2 linked regions of the Notamacropus eugenii genome follow. The protein of the gene in region 1 purifies or fractionates together with the protein of each later gene. This does not show direct contact. Links are inferred from orthologs where the notes say so. Each region holds a gene or a part of one and is shown on either strand. Other genes may lie near its edges.

The links. Proteins that work in one complex are often made in the same cells at the same time.
Region 2: the proteins of NPC1 (region 1) and serum paraoxonase/arylesterase 2-like purify together in Homo sapiens (affinity purification with mass spectrometry; 3 studies listed by BioGRID and IntAct, with this or other methods). This does not show direct contact. The link is inferred for Notamacropus eugenii from reciprocal best matches to the Homo sapiens genes NPC1 and PON2.

What each region holds. Positions count from the first base shown.
Region 1 is NC_092875.1:247,653,520-247,661,495, forward strand, and holds the start of NPC1 (NPC intracellular cholesterol transporter 1), read right to left. Parts: upstream 3,095-7,976; 5' UTR 2,895-3,094; coding exon 2,826-2,894; intron 1-2,825. UniProt on the Homo sapiens protein: Intracellular cholesterol transporter which acts in concert with NPC2 and plays an important role in the egress of cholesterol from the endosomal/lysosomal compartment.
Region 2 is NC_092874.1:824,020-832,112, reverse strand, and holds the start of serum paraoxonase/arylesterase 2-like, read left to right. Parts: upstream 1-5,024; 5' UTR 5,025-5,145; coding exon 5,146-5,219; intron 5,220-8,093. UniProt on the Homo sapiens protein: Capable of hydrolyzing lactones and a number of aromatic carboxylic acid esters. Has antioxidant activity. Is not associated with high density lipoprotein.

The sequences.
Region 1 (7,976 bases):
CAATGAACTCTTGAGGCAAAACGCCTTCCACATCCAGAGAAAGAACTATGGAACTGGACTGCAGATAGAAACAGACCATTTTCTTTTGTATTATGTTTTGTTTTGTTTTATTTAATAGTTTCTCCCATTCATTTTAATTCTTCTATGCAACATGTATTTAATAGGAAAGTATGTATAGAACTATATAACATTGTATGCTGTTTCAGGAAAGGAGTGGGGGAGGGATAGGGAAATGAGAGAGAGGGAGGGGAAGAAAATCTAAAATATATGGAAGTGACTGTCAAACACTGAAAACAAAATAATTTAATTAAAAAAATAAAATTAAAAAAATGGCTCCAGGCCAAATGCTCTCATTTTGTTTGACTTATCGGCTGTTAAAAAAAAAAATTAAGAGTTGAGCAAGAGCAGCCTCTTATTCCTCTCTCCCTCCACCTTCCAAAGTCAAGATCAGATTTATTGCCGGGGAAATTACCTTGCCACTCCTAAAACTGTCAATTACCACTTTTAAACAGAAGTGAGGCTTTGTTTGTGAAGTTTTTACTGACAGTAGCTACTGGATTTTAATTAGCAAGCCATTCCACTGGACCAAAAACCACCAAAGCAAGTCAAGTTGTTTTGTAACAAAAAGAATGTTGTAAGGACTATCATTATGTTAAGATTTAAAGACCTTGGGAAAAGCTTCAAGGCATTTTGCAATACTTAGTTTTAATCAAGGACCTCCCTCTCTGCATGTTATAGAGGGCTAACTACGTAGGGGTGAAAGCATTGGCTTTCCAGATTATCCAGGATTATCCAGAATAGGGATCACCTTTTTAAAAAATGATCATAGCAGTAGGCCAACTGGCCAATATAACACCACTTAGTGAGATGTATAACGGGCAAACTTCTCTCTCCTCCCTCCTTGATTTTCACCAGGTATTTGGCTCCTTGGAGATTCTAAGAGGGGAAAAAAATTCCCCAAAACTTTCTTTACTTTTCTTGAGTAGTATAGTATGAGTGTTAAAAATCTGATTTTTAAAAAATGACCAAAATAAAAACAGTTTTGTATGGTATACAAATCCTTCCAACCAGGTATAGTAAATAAGGATTGGGGTGTCCTACACCTGGATGTACTCTTTTAGTAGAAATGTACCAGTATATACCATTCTTGAGAGAGGGCAAATCACAACACTCAGAAGTTACACATACACCTGCTATAAGGAAGTTCCCACTTGACTTGCCAGTTTTTCAGCTTTTGTAGAGGCTGGTATCCACCCCAATCTTTAGGAACTCTCCCCCTCCCCCAAATCAACACAATGAGGGTACTTAATAAATTTTCATCTAATACTTTAGCTGTCTTCAACTGTGATCTTATAAATGGCATTTTTATTAAAAAGTGTGCACTTGGTTTCAATTGTCACCTTGAACCATTTTAATGGCTGGATGATCCTAAAAGTTGCTCTAGGCAACTCTCAAGTTACTGCACAGAAGGTGTAAACCTTCATTGCTAAATGGAGTTAAGGTTCCAATACCAATAAAATCACAGGTCCAATACCTGTGGGTGGGGTGGGTATGTTCTTAGGGTAGCAATTAAAAAGGGACAAAAACAGAGAAATAAGATCCACCTGCTTCAGGATACTCCTCCAAGTCACTAGGTTCTTAACGCTCTCTCTTAGGAAGCTGTGATTCAAGAGCCCCGCCCCTTAAGAGGATAGACAAATCCTTAAAGGATAAGGAAGCTTTCAAGCAAGCCCCTGGTGTGAGGCTAAAATAACATTTGACAAATATGAGGGCAATGCCTCAGGTTAACTGCATGCTACTCTACAAAGAGCAGTGAGTGGCCAGGGAATCCAAAGAATAAAGTTCTGGATCAACTCTCCATTCATTACCCCCATGTCTTGGCAAGTCCATTCTCCAGAGCCCTTAATTTTCAGACTTGTAAAATAGAGCAGGACTAGATCAAGGTTTATTAACCTGGTGGGAAGGAGAAGGGGGCAGTGTCTACGGACAGACTTCAAGGGATAGGGAACTTAGAGGGGTCAAAACAATTGCAATCTTCATTTTCCCATTCTAACTGAAATTCAGCATTTTCTCCAATTATGTAAAAACATTGTGACAAGCGGTCCACAGGTTCCACCGGACTAAAAACCAAAGGATTAAGGGGGAGGTGTGTGTTACAAGCTTGTTCCCCACTGTCACCAAGCTTACCCGTTCCTTCCGAAGCTAACCCACCTGACCAGGTATGGTGGAGAAGCGAACCCATGCAAGAAGCTGGCGAGGACCCCCTGGCAAGGCGGTCCTTTCTTCCTTTTAGTTCCAGTCTCCTCTCCCCCCTCTCTTCCCCTCAGACAACTCTAAACTCCACATCGTGGGAGGGCATCGGCCAAGATGGCCCGACCGCGCTCAGGCCGGGGGGCATGGCTGGGGTCACCACAACCCCTGCACAGCAACCCCCATCTCTTCCGCAGGAGAGAGGCAGCAAAGGGGAGGGAGAGGAAGAGGGAGAAGAGAGAGACACAGAGAGAGAGAAACTGGGGAGAGAAAAGAGGGAGAGGAGACACAGAGAGAGAGAAACTGGGGAGAGAAAAGAGGGAGGGAGAGGAGAGAGACAGACGAAATGGGGGAGAGGAGAAGAAAGTGGGCAGGGGGTGTGCAGAGGAGGCCAAGCTGTGGGGGGCAGAGAAGCCGAGCACCCCCCCAGCCCAGGGGTGACCCGGGGTCAGAAGCCCGAGGACCGAGGTTAGAGTGCGGCACGGCTCGGGTGCGGCCGACACAAGCGTCCGGGTCCGGCCCACGGAGCCTCGGTCCGGGGCAGGGGTCCCCGGGTCGCGGGAAGGGGCGCTCACCTGCACCGGACAAAGCAGCGCCAGGCCGATGGCCAACAGCAGCCCGGCTCTGGGGCCGAGCGCCCTCATGGTCGGCGGCGGTCACCGGGCCCGCGGGGGCAGGGGGAGCAGGGGCGCGCGCCGGAGGGAGGGGAGCTGAGCCCAAGGGAGCCGGAGCCGTGCCGTCCCGTCCCGTCCTGGTCCCGTCCCGGTCAGCTCCCCCGCGACGCCGCCTTCGCTGGAGCCGGCGGAGTTTAGTGAGCCCCCGGCAGGATCGAGCTAACGCGCAAGTCAGGAAGGAGGGAGGGGAGGGGGGAAGAATGGGGGGCGTCGCGCCTCCTCCTCCTCCAGGGTGGGGTTACGCATGCGGTCCGCCCCTTGGCTCGCCCCGGGAGCGGCCGCGGCGGCTCGAGGGGAGGGGTGTGACGGGCGCCTGGCTCACGCCCCGCCTCCTCTCCCCTCTCCCCACCTTCAGTGGGCGGGGCCTGGAGCCGCCCGGCGCTGCTCCTCCCCTTCTTCCTCCCCCCACCTCCGCCGAGCGCGGGGCCGCAGCTGCCGCAGCTCTCCTTCGCGTCCTCTCCTAGACCCTCCCAACGATCTTCCCTCCGCCAGTGCCCCAGCGCCGCCTTAGGTGTCTTCTCGGCCGCGGTCTCTCTCTCCTAGCATTATTAATCCTCGGTGCAGGCGGCCTTGCTTTTCGTGTCTCTTTCCTGTGGCTCTGCTTCCACCTCGCCCGCTCCTTGCCCCTTTCAGTGGCCCGGAATCCTAGCGATGCCCCTTACCCCCTCTCCACCCCATTCTTCACCTTGAGTCCAATGGTTTCATCCTAACTCAGGGACCTCCATCCGGCCCCCTCCCTTTTTTCTGGAATGCTTTAGGGGAGGAGAATGTCCCCAGGGACTTAGTCATTTTTCCTTGTCCAGAGTGACAGTTCACCTTTCCTGGGGACAGCGAGGGGCCCCAGGGTCCGGAGACGGCCTGTTTACTTCCAGAATTGGAGGGTGGGTGGTGTGGAGTCCCTCCAAAGGATATCTCGTAGCAATTGTTTCGAAAACAAAACCGCATCCACCCAAGGGAAATGAAGTGGTCGGGTTTAGGAGCGGGGCGGTTGTAAAGGAAACACCCCTGCTGTGAGCCACGAGGCCCGAGATCAAATTATGCCTCTGAGTCAGCTTTATCGAATCTTTTCACTTCAGTTCAATCACCTTTTGTTACGCCGGCCAGGGGATACGGAAAAGAAGCCAAAGACGGCCCATGCCCCCAAGGAGTTTACGGTGACCACGTGCAAGCAAATATATACAAAGCAAGCGATATACAGAATAAATAGGAAATAATTAACAGAAGGCACTGGAATGAAGAGAGGTTGGAGAGGGCTTCCCCAGGGAGCCGGGGAGATCTGAGGAGAAGGGAGGGCATTCTAGACGTGGGGAGGGGCGAGGGAAGGGAACTGTCCTAGAGAGGAGGGGAAGAGGGAAAGGAGAGGAGCGGGGAGAGAGGAAGGGAGAGGATGCGCTCTTAGTTTTCTCATCTGTAAAACAAGGAGATTTAACTAGAAGATCGCTAATGGGCTGTCCAGCTAGGGACGCTCCGATCCTGGCCGCCCCACGCAGTTTTATTGGCTAATACTGCACCACAAACACAGCTCCCAGCAGGACAGCCAGGGCAGTGGGATCGCTCCCAGCGAGCTTGACGCGCGGTGGCCTGACCCGTGATGTGAGGTTATCAGACAAGCCCAAAGCCAGAGAGGAGTTAGTCATTGGCGGAAGGGAGGGGAAGGGAGGGGCGGTGTGGGGAGACTGTGACTCTCCCTGGGAGTCACGCTTTAGATTCTCGGGGCCTGATATCTAATCGTCACCGACCCGACTGTGTTTACAGCTGGCTCCGCCAAAGCTCCCCGAGTGCTTGAAAACACATCTTTCTGTAAAAGTCTGCATTGCTGTTTGCAAGTACCTGCAGCTAACTGGGGAGCTTGAAAACCAAGCTGCAAACTTTTGTCTGGTGTCACCCTTCTGGTTCGGGGCCAAGGAGACTCATCTGCCGCTGAATCATCGTGATAGAGAATAAGAACCCTTAGAGACCCATCTAGTCCAATCCTCTATTTTATTAATGTAAATTTTGGATCAAAAAGTTGAATTTTCAATAAACACCAAATAAAATAGGCATATCTATATAAATAGTAGGACAGAAAAAGGATTGTACATGAAACTGAATCTCTATTATGTGCAGATAACTTTAATATATTTAAAATTCAACATGTAACTTTGTAAGTCGTTCTACTTTACGATTCTTTTTGGCCTTTCTGCTTTCTCTTAGGAATTTTTAAAACAATGGTTCAATGACTTTTTTCTTTTTTGCTGTCTTATACTTCTCTTTTTGTCCCTTTCCCTATCCTGCTCCCCACTGGAGGAGAAAAAAAAGACAAACTAAACCTCTGTGACAAAAATTCAAATTCAAGCAAATAAAATTACCACATTGGCCGTGTCTGTCACCCCTATTTCAGGAAGTATCAACCCACTCATTTAAGGAAATTTTCCTAAAGAGCTAAAATTATTTGATCAAAGTTAAAAAAAAAAAGTTAGTATTTCTTTACAAAGTAGAGGTTAATTGACTTGTCCAGAGTCCCACATGTGATCGCTATCTGAATCTGGACTTGAATTCCCCTTCCTGGCTCCAAGTCCAACATTCTAATGTTTCACTTGCCAGATCCAAGATTTGCATTTGTGTTACAATGACACCAATACAAAAACATTCTAACCTACATTTTGCATCCTTGTGGTGACAGTTTTTCCCCCCAGATTTCAAACAAATTGTTTCTTGCAGCAATCAAAATTACTAGTTATTTGCTTTCAGTAGTTAAGGGCATTGAGGCAAGGATGACTTTTCCCAACAATGGAAGGCCAAAGTAGAATGAGGTTAGGCTATGCTACTATAACACTCACTCTGGATTCAATCTGCCAACTTCCATCAAACTTGGTCTTTAATCCTCAGAGAGGAATGACTACTTTTCTCCTCAGGATTCTTAGCTGTTAACCCTGAATGGTTGTTGTGACTTCCAACACTTTCACTCCTAAGTTGCCTTTGATTGTTTCCCATTACCAAGCAGCCTGGGGAACCAGAGTAGCTTTTAGAAAAGGTATTTACTAAAAAGATACTGCAAGAATAGTTAATGCATTACCATCTCTCTTTACATTTTAATCCACTCTCCTTAGGGACCTTGATGTCCCTGGGGAAAGTGTGTTCAGATTTAAAGGAAGATGATAATGGAACATATGTATAAAGGACACATTTGGCCAAGGAGTATCTCCTAACTATTGGTCCTGGAAGTCTTATCTCCTTTTGTGGAGTCCTCATGAAGTTCCCTTTAGGTGCACCTCTCTGCTGGACTCTAAAGATTAGTGCCTTTCTCAAGTGCATAGCCAACACTCCTCTCTATCACAAGAATCACTGTCCTTGAAACTGCCACCATCCTCAGATGACTGTTTTCCATCTATCCGTAGGTGCATCCTTTGTCATCAGCCTTTACCATTCCAGTGGCCACTAATATTGACTCCAATCACTGGTGAAAATTCTGCTGGAACCTCAAGATACCCTAAATGTCCAAGTTCACCTAGTAACTCTCCTCTTGGAATATATATATATATATATATATATATATATATATATATATATATATATATATATATATATATATATATATATACACACACACATATATATATATGTATATATATATATGTATATATATATATATCTTTTAACTTAAGATCAGAAAAGAAAACAAAACAAAACAAAATGAAAATGAAAGTGAGATCTCTGATGTCTAGGTGAGAGATAGGCCTTCCTCCTACTCCAGCAGCTCAGAGTAATCCTTACTTCACACAAAATCACACATTGCTGGAAACAGCTTCTCAATCTATACACTGGACTGGAGTCAAGTAAGGAATATTTGACAGTGCTCTGTATAAGCTGGAATACAATGGAGTCAGGCAGTTAAGTAGTACAGTGAATAGAATGCAAGGCCTGGAGTGAGGAAGACATCTTCCTGAATTCAAATCTGGCCTCAGACATTTACTAGCTGTGTGACCCTGGGCAAGTCACTTAACCCTGTTTGCCTCAGTTCCTTATCTGTAAAATGAGCTGGAGAAGGAAATGGCAAACTTCTCAGGAATCTTTGCCAAGAGAACCCCAAATAATGTCACAAAGAGTCTGAAATGACTAAGCAACATCAAACAGTGGAATCAGCTTCGGTTAGCTCAAGCCTATTGTTAAATTTTTCGTGTAAATACCTCAGAAACTGGCAAATACTACAAATTAGCTTGATTTCTCATTTTGTTGATTGTCTAGACTTTAGATAGTGATGGAGAAAATATTAATAATGCAAATTCAGCTTAAAATTGTGTTGGCATACATTTATTTATTTGTCTATCTATCCATCTATTTATTCGTTTATTGAGGGAAAGTAAAATAACCCTATATAAAGGAAAATCATTGCTTGCTTCCCAGATGAAGAAAACTGCAAATATTTTTGCCCTCTTAAAATAATAAAAGACTAATAGTATTTAATTTATTCACTCTCTATACTCATACTAGCAATATTATACACACATATAGATATATGAATATAAAATCTCATTCTCATCTTTTTTATGGGGTTACTCTTGCCCAAGTGAATCAAATAATTGCTTCTTATAATTGGATAAAAGTAATTGGATATAAGACCACCTTCTGTTGGCTCACTGAAATCATCTTCTGGGTAACTGTTTTAGCAGACTGGACAATGAGAATATGGATTAAGTACCTTCTCTGCAATTTCACATGATTTTGATTCCTTTTGCTTGGTTTCTATTTTGAAAGCTTTTTATTCCACAAAGCTTTAGGATTATGTGTATTTTGGAGTGGAGTTGTTTAGTAAAGGATAGTCTTTAAATTTTTGTGGTTCAGAGTTATGCTCCATTTCCAACACAGTTTGTTGAATCCTCATGAATTTTTTGATGTCTATATTATAACATGGGTATTTGTTATCTATGAGTCCACAGAATCTGGTCAACCTCTGATGCATAATTCTAGCCTCTGAGTCATTCTTGCTCAGTATTTATTAGGAACAAAAATTTTACAGCCTGGAGTGACTTGGTTTCTACCATTTCTTTATATAATCTTCATTGATCACTAAGT
Region 2 (8,093 bases), on another chromosome or scaffold:
AAAACTTTGATGTTGACTGTGGTGTCAACCAGGGGCAGGGACAACGTCCTCTTGCTCCCTCTGCCTCCCTCAGTGCAGCCTGGGATCCCATTCACATTCTCTGCAGCCACATTACACTGTCCACTTGGGATCCAAGAAACCTCCGCGTCTCTTCTAGGTAAAGTGCTTTCTATTTCTGCTGCCCCCTTGTGTACTTTCAGAGATGTTTTATTTGGGAGAAACTGTAAAACTCTCCATTTCATCATGTTGGATTCAGCTCAGTATAGATTCTAGGCTGAGGCAGCCAATGATGGGGTTCAAATCTGGCCCATTGTCTGTTTTTTTACAGTCCAATCTAAAAAGACAAACTTTACTTAAAAAACTAAAACCATTCCTAGCTGACTGGCAATCCAACAGTAGGATGCAGGCTGGATTTGGGCCCAGGATCCCTGTTCTAGACTCTTCTAGGCTGTTTTGGATCCTTGCTCTCACATTGAGAATGTGATTTCTCACTCCCAGTTTGATGTCATCAGCAAATTAGGCATTTTCTCCCCAGCTGAATTGATATTTTTGCGTCTTTGAAATGTCATTCTTTTTTTAAAAAAAATAATTTAATTTTAGCTTTCAACATTCACTTCCATAAGATTTTGAGTTTTAGATTTTCTCCCCCTCCCTCTTGGAATGCCATTCTTGAGAGCCTCCTATACCTCTTGGACTTAATTTCCCAATTGTCTCTGGGTTCAAATCCAACCTCAAACACTTACTAGCTGTGTGACTGGGCAGATCATGAGATGCCCCTGACTTCATTTTCCTCCTCTGTAAAATGAACATGGTAAGGCTCACGTATTGCAAGGGCTGATCCTGACATAAAGCAAAGATGTGCCATTGTGTAGCTCAAAAGGAGGAAGAACACATATCCCTAGTCTCTTCTCTCCCAACATTTCTCCAGAGGAGATTTTAATGCTTGCTCAGAGGAAAAACAAATGGTTGGGTCTGGAGGCCACTCTGCCCTACTCAGAGATGGAGGGAACCAAGCTAGAATTATATCTATCTGCTCCCTTAAATATTGTTAGTGTAGGGGATGTGTGTTTTAGGTTCAAGATAAACTTCTGGTCATTTTTCATTACTTGGAAAGAGGAGGATCCCAAGCTTTATACCCAAGGATTAAAACTCCCTTTTCATTGAATGCCAATATACAGCAAATACACATAAGAACCAAGAAACTCATTTACCCAAGGCCATAGTCAAGCAGAGTTCAGAGAAAGTGCACAGAGGACATATGCCAGACAACACAGGGTGAAAGATCTCTCCCACTGGGAACAGGATAACTCAGCTCAACCAAGAGAGACAGTCCCAGATCTCTCCCCAGAGGAAATATCCTGAAATCTTTAGTGGAACAAGCTGGGGGTGGTAACATGCGAAAGATTGCCTGCCCCTCTCATGCTGATTCTGGCCTCCTCCATTTTCTCTCCTGAAGCTGGAAGCCAGAAGGAACCAAAGTGACTCTAAGCTTGAAGAGAATGAAGAACTCTCCTCTCTCCAACCTTGCCCCATTCATCTCCACCAATGAGGAAAGAGTCTCATTTGGAGTGCATTTAGGGTTAGGGTTAAGGTTAGATGAGCTTTGAGAGTAGGGTGACATTCCTCCCCAGGGCTGAAACTTTTTTCAGTTCCTTGCCAGGATCAGCTGGGGCAGGTCCAAAATCTGTAAGAATCAACCTAAGTATCAGTGCTTTCAAACAAGAATGATTCTCCTGTCATCCCAGGCAACCAGTCTTCAATACCATTGAAAATGATATTAAATACTCATTAAGAGTATATGCAATCCAGAAAAAGAACTATGGAGTCAGAATACAGAATGAAACAGACTCTTTTCTCTTTTGTCATATTTTGTTTTTCTCATGATTCCTCCCATTTGTTTTAATCCTTCTATGCAACATGACTAATGTGAAAACGTGTTTAATAAAAATCCATGTGTAGAGTCCATATAAGATTGCATGTCATCTTGGGGAGGAAGGGAAAGTGATTGTTGAAAACTGAAAACAAATAAATTAATAATTTGGGGGGGGGGATGAGTATATGCAGGCTTCACACAAAGTTGTTAAGTCATTTTTTCAGTCATGTCGTACTCTTCAGGACCCCATTTCAGGTTTTCTTGGCAGAGGTACTATAGTGGTTTTAGTCACTTCCTTCTCCAGCCCATTTTACAGATGAGGAACTGAGGCAAACAGTGTAAAATAACTTGTCCAGGGTCACACAGCTAATCTCAAGCCAGATTTGAACTCAGAGAGATGAATTTTCCTGACTTCAGACCCAGCACTCTCCACTGTACCACCTGGCTTTCCAATTCTGATTTCAGATGATCTCTGTGCTTTTCACCAGCAAAAGCAAGACGGAACCCCTCAAGGTCTTAGTGTCATCTTTTCTAGAGATTGCTTCCCATGTGCCCACATTAATACACAAACATTCATGCAATTAACAGATGTTCAGTGTTGTAACAACAACACTCTATCGGATTAAAATACTGAGCCGAAGCAATACAATAGTACAGCAAAAGACTTGAATTCAAATCCTGACAACCAACAGTCGGTGTCAAGGACTTGTTCAGGTATCACCCTTTCAGTAGAACTTGTAAGAAATAAAATACTCCAAGTCAATAAATGCACGATTATCTAACAGTGGGATGAAGCCAAGCTAGAGAGGTCTGTGGCATTTCCAAACAAAAGTAATAAAACAAAATAGAACTGACATCAAAAACTTCCAGGATAGAACCAAACTATCTGTGACTCTTTAAAAAAATTCTGCTTCCATTGAAGAGAGAAGGAAAAAAAGAAATGAGAATACAAGCGTTTTCCAGACAGAATGGGTGGGAAACAAAACTGACCCCAGAAGACAATTTCTAGCCAGCCTCGGGGGGCTTGTCCGGGAGCTACTCATTCAAAACAAAGGGTTGGGAAATGGAGACCCAAGAGATGCTTCAGGATACGCTGGCTCAAAAAACCAATCTGAGGGGGAAGATTTCCCTCCAAGTTCATTGTCTCTCACCTGTGGATCCAAGAGGGACAATAGAAATTTCTAGCCTCTTCCCTTCCCCCCACCTTCTACAAGGGAGACTTTACTCTCTGCTAGGAGGGGAAGCAGGAGAGCGGTGGCTGAAGCCACCAGGCTAGAATTATATCTATCTGTCCCCTTAAATGTTAGTAGTGTAGGGGATGTGTCTTTCAGGTTCAAGGCAGCTTCTGATCACTGTTTCAATAATGGTTTGGTGGGAAAGAAGGACCCCAAGGGAGAAAATATACTGGACAATACAGAGTGAGGGAGTTCTCCCATTGGGAGTGAGGAAATTCAGCTTAACCAAGAGAGCTGGTCCTGGTTCTATCCATGGGGAAGTTCCCCAAAATCTCCAGTGAAACAAGCTGAGGATAGAAGCCTGATGGACCAGCTCCTCTCATTACCTACTTGCTAAGATTAGATCCCTTCCATCTTCCCTCTCTCCCCCTCCCTCCCTCTCTCTCTCCTTCTGTCTCTCTGTCTTTCTTTGTCTCTTGTCTCTCTCTGTCTCTCTGTCTTCTGTTTCTGTCTGTCTTTGTCTCTCTGTCTCTCTGTCTCTCTCTCTTCCCCTCCCCCTCTCCCTCCCTCTCCTTCTCCCCTCCCTTCCCATTCCCTCTCTCTCCTGGAAGTCAGAAGCACCTAAGATTCTGCAAGCTTGAAGATTGAAGCATTGTTCCCTGCTCTGCCTCTCACATAGACACAGACCATTCACCTCCACCAATCAGGAGAGATTCTCATGCTAATGGGCTTTGGGGCTGGGGTTACATGGCTGTTGTGGGATCAAATGACTTAGTAACATATAAGGAGCCATGCAAAGGTTAACAGAACTGAAGACAAAGCCCAGACCCGTTGTTTGGAACTTCTCTGGTCCCTTTGAAGATGACCTCGCCTGACCTCACCAGCCCAAGAAGGCTCAGGTAAGCTGCCAGGTTCTGTCAAGAAACTGGAGCGGAGGGGTGTCCATTCCTACACACAACCCTCTCCTCCTGTGTGTCTGAGGATGAGATCAGAGAAGGAGAGCCCAGACACCCCAGGATTAAGTGAGGACAGTGCTCAAGGGCACAGAAGTTACTCCGTGATGGCCAAGGTAGCAGAAATAGGATTTTTTTTTGGGGGGGGGAGGATCATCACCTTGCCAGAACTCAACTTAGACCATCTGGGCTGGAAGGGAAATTCTGTGCTGGCCCTGGTGTGTGTGTTAGTGTGTTAGTGTTGTGAGTGCTGCTGTTTCCCCACCAGAAGGAACCTCGATCTGATGAAGTCCTCTGGATTGGCCCAGGGCCAAGGAAGGCTGGAGAAATCCATTTAGGCCAAGTATACCGGAAGGGAAGCTATCTGCAAGAGTCCTTCACTCGTGGCATTTGTCAGGCACAAGTTCAGCTTTCTCCACATTGAAACAAAATAACCACATTAAACTTCAGTCACTTGGGGGTGGGGGTGGGACTGGGCCTGCCCAGAGAAGCTCCATCAGAAGCAGGGGTCCTCAGACCTTTTTCAAATGTGGGAGAGCCACGAGGTTTCCCTCCAGGGCAGTGTCTAATGAAAATCCCGCACAAATGGGGGTGGGGGTAGGCTGGGGTGGTTATGCGATTCATTCCAATGCAATAAACTTTTTTATAACTCCCGACTGGACAAAGGGAGGCCACTCCCTTATCCCCCCTCCATCCCGCTCTTCCTGCCATCCCAAAGGTAACAAGGGGGCACCAGGGGGATGCAGGATCAGCTAGGAGGCCCGGTCCAGGACGGGATCGTCTGGACAAGATCCCGGGGGGAATTCTAGGGTTTGTGTGGTGGTGTTCTGGGCCCTGGGCACAGAGGGAATGAGGAAGGGACGGAAGACCTGGTGTGAGGGGGCGAGAACTGCAGAAGGAGGGGGCGGGAGGAGGAAACTGGGAAGGAAGGAGGGTCGCAAGATGAGGCGGAGACAGAAGGAGGAGATGGGGGCGGAGAAGAGGGAGGTTGGTGGAGTCAGGAGATGGGTGGTACCCTGAGCCCCAGTCCCGGGACCAGCGGAGCCTGGGATCCTGGGCCGGGGGAGGCGGAGCCGGGAGCCGAGGGGCAGCGAAGGCGGGCAGAGGGAGGAGCCCCCGGACCTGGCCGGGACCAGAAGCGGCCATGGCGCGGCTGCTCGTTCTCACTGCTCTGGGCTTGGCTCTAGCTCTCCTGGGCGAGAGGTTTGTGGCGCTCAGGTGAGAGGGGACTTGGGGCGGGCACAGGCTCCTGTGCGCCCTCGGACCACGGACTGAGAGCTGGGTGCGGGGGCTGGGGGGGACCATTTCTCTCGTGCTCTCCTCTACCCCCAATCCACTTCCATGCTCTGCGGCGGGAGGGTCCAAGGTGAGATCTGCGGCGACAGGGGGAACCTGGAAACTTCCCTTCCTCCGGTGAGGGCGGCCCGGCCCCTAAGCGCCCCGAACCGGGCGGAGGCGCCGGGCAGAGGGCGAGAGACAACGATCTGGAGGCCCGAGCGGCCCCGCCCTGGCCTCTGCCTTCCGCCAGCCTCGTCCGGTTCCTGCAGTCCCTCTTGAAGAAATGGGTCACTCAGTCCCCGGTCACCCGGCCTGCGAGGCTGGAGAGGGCGTGGCCCTGAGTCGCCCCGATTCGCCACCTCCACACGCTCGCTCTCCGCCGGTAGTGACAGCCCAGAAACTTTGCAACTTGTCTTCGCCCTTCCAGGGCGCCTCCCCGGTCTGCCCTCCCCCCCAGTCTCCTCTCTTCCCCTCGCGTTCTCCGACTCCCCTTTCCCTGCTCCCCAACACTGCACCTCCCGCCCCCGCCCCCCCCCCCCACAATCTGTTGCCTTTGGCTGGGGAGCATGCTCCTGTCTCAGCGATTTTTCCAGGCTGCTGGTGAAGAACATCCCTGCCCCTCCCCATGCCCCCAGCGTTGGCAGCAGCCCCACGCCCCAGCCTTAAGCCCAGTCTTGCTTCCTGGCTCTTCACTCGGGTCCCAGTTTTCACGTGTGCCTCACTGATGATGGTGACTGCTGTGTGGGGTAGGGGCATGTAAGGCCGATTTGCCAATTGAAGACAACAGTTAAAAGCTGGTTCTGACTGTGGGATGAAGGAGAAAGAGCCTGCCCAGCTTCTGGGTCCAGCGCCTCCCCACATAGCAGCTCTTGGCCAGCTCTCTTCTCCTCCGGGCTAAGAGACTGAAGATTCTGTGGCCCACGTGTTCTCCATGCAACTCCCAGGCCTGGAGATGCCATCTTTCCCTTCTGTCAGCCTAGGAGCCCGTGACCTTTGGGGCCTCAGTTTCCTTCTCTGTGATGTGTTTGGGCTTGATAGCCTCTGAAGTTCCTTTTCCATCTGGGATCCTACAGGGACTGCCCCCGGAAGACGATGGGGGCATGGAGGGATTCAGCCCAAGGAGCAGCCCCAGCCAGCATCTCCTGGATGCTGGCCATGCGTGGGCCCCACAACCTCTGGGGGCTGGGCAGCCACAAGGATTGTCCTGGGCCCAAAGCACCAATGTGGGCTCCCTGTTTCACCATTTGCTCCAAGGGGCACCGGGAGATAGAGGCAGGCTGTTCTCTTCTTTCTCCTTCCAGTTGATTGTGGCATTCAGGGTCCACTGTGGGCAGCAGAAAATGACTGAGAAGTGTCTTGGCCATCACGCCCCCACTATCCACATATGCATACGGACATGAGAACACAAGCACATCCTGCCATGTCAGTGGATCCTTGGTCAAATGAAGAGACCAGATCCAAGTGGGCCATGCTGCGTGTCCCTCTCATTTATTAATGGAGTTTGGGGATTAGGGTGGAGACACAGCCTTTGCCTGCTGAGGGCTCCCAATCTGAACAGTTACAGACCTCTTCCAGCTGGCAGGAGTAGCCTGAGATATGGGCCCACATAAGCGCTGGCTGCAATTGACTTTACGTGGCTTAGTGCTAGAATGTTGGACCTGGAGTCAGGACATGTATTTCAGTTGTTTCAGTCAGGTATGACTCTTCATGACCCCATTTGGGGTTTTCTTGGCAAAATAATTGGAGTGGCTTGCTTTTTTCCTTCTCTAGCTCATTTTACAGATGAAGAAACTGAGGCAAACAGGATGAAGTGACTTGCCCAGGAAGATGAGTCTTCCTAACTCCGGGCCTGGCATTCTAGCCCCTCCTCTACCTAGCTGCCCTAAAGTCAGGAAAACCTGAGTTCAAATCCAGACTCAGGCACTTACTGGCTGTGTGACCCTGGACAAGTCCCTTAACTTCTGTCTGCCTCAGTTTTCTCATCTGCAAAATGAGAATAATAGTAGCACCTTCCTCCCAGGCCTGTATGAGCCCAATGGCTGGCACACAGTAGGCACTTAAAACATACTGGTTTCATTTCTTCCATGCCGACCCACAGGGTGTGCTAGAAGCCGCAGAGACCCCAGGCCCTTCAGGAAGATGGAGGGAGTCAGGGACATAATAGATCTCCCCAAGGGTGTGGCCATGTCCTCCTGGGAGTCCTCCACCCAACATTCTGGAGCTTTCTGTGAATTCCTGAAGATGGTGGGTGCCTGTGAGGTGTATGTGCATCAGGGCAGGAAATGCTCCAACTGAATAACTGACTGTCACATCAGTAGCCAGGCTGATGCACTGGGAGCCTGATGGAGGCTTGCACTGGCAGGCTGAGTAGGGACTGTTCAGGGTACTGACTTATACCCTGGACCTTTGGAATTGTGCCCACTTGAGCAGGGCCATTCAAACCTTCTGTTTCTCGGCTTTGAGCAAGTTCTGTGACTCGGGTGTTTGCGGTGGGCCAACTCCACCCTTCCTGCAACAGTGTTGTCTGCAGAAGCTCACCAGGGCCAGCTCCCCAAGGGGACAACTCTTCTGTAATGAAGGGACCCTGGGAGTACAGAGTGATCAGTAGATACCTTCATATATGTTATTCTCCCCAGTCGGGGAAGCTGGGTCAGCCAGAGGTGCTGAGGCTTAGGTGCCCAGTATGGTGAGAATAGAGGCCTAGTTATTATCCATTTCAGTTCAGAGGGATCAGACAGAGGTGAAACTGTAGGGAGAGGAGGGAGCCCCGCCCAGGTCTGCCTGCTCCCAACAGGGTTTGCCTGCCCTCTGAGA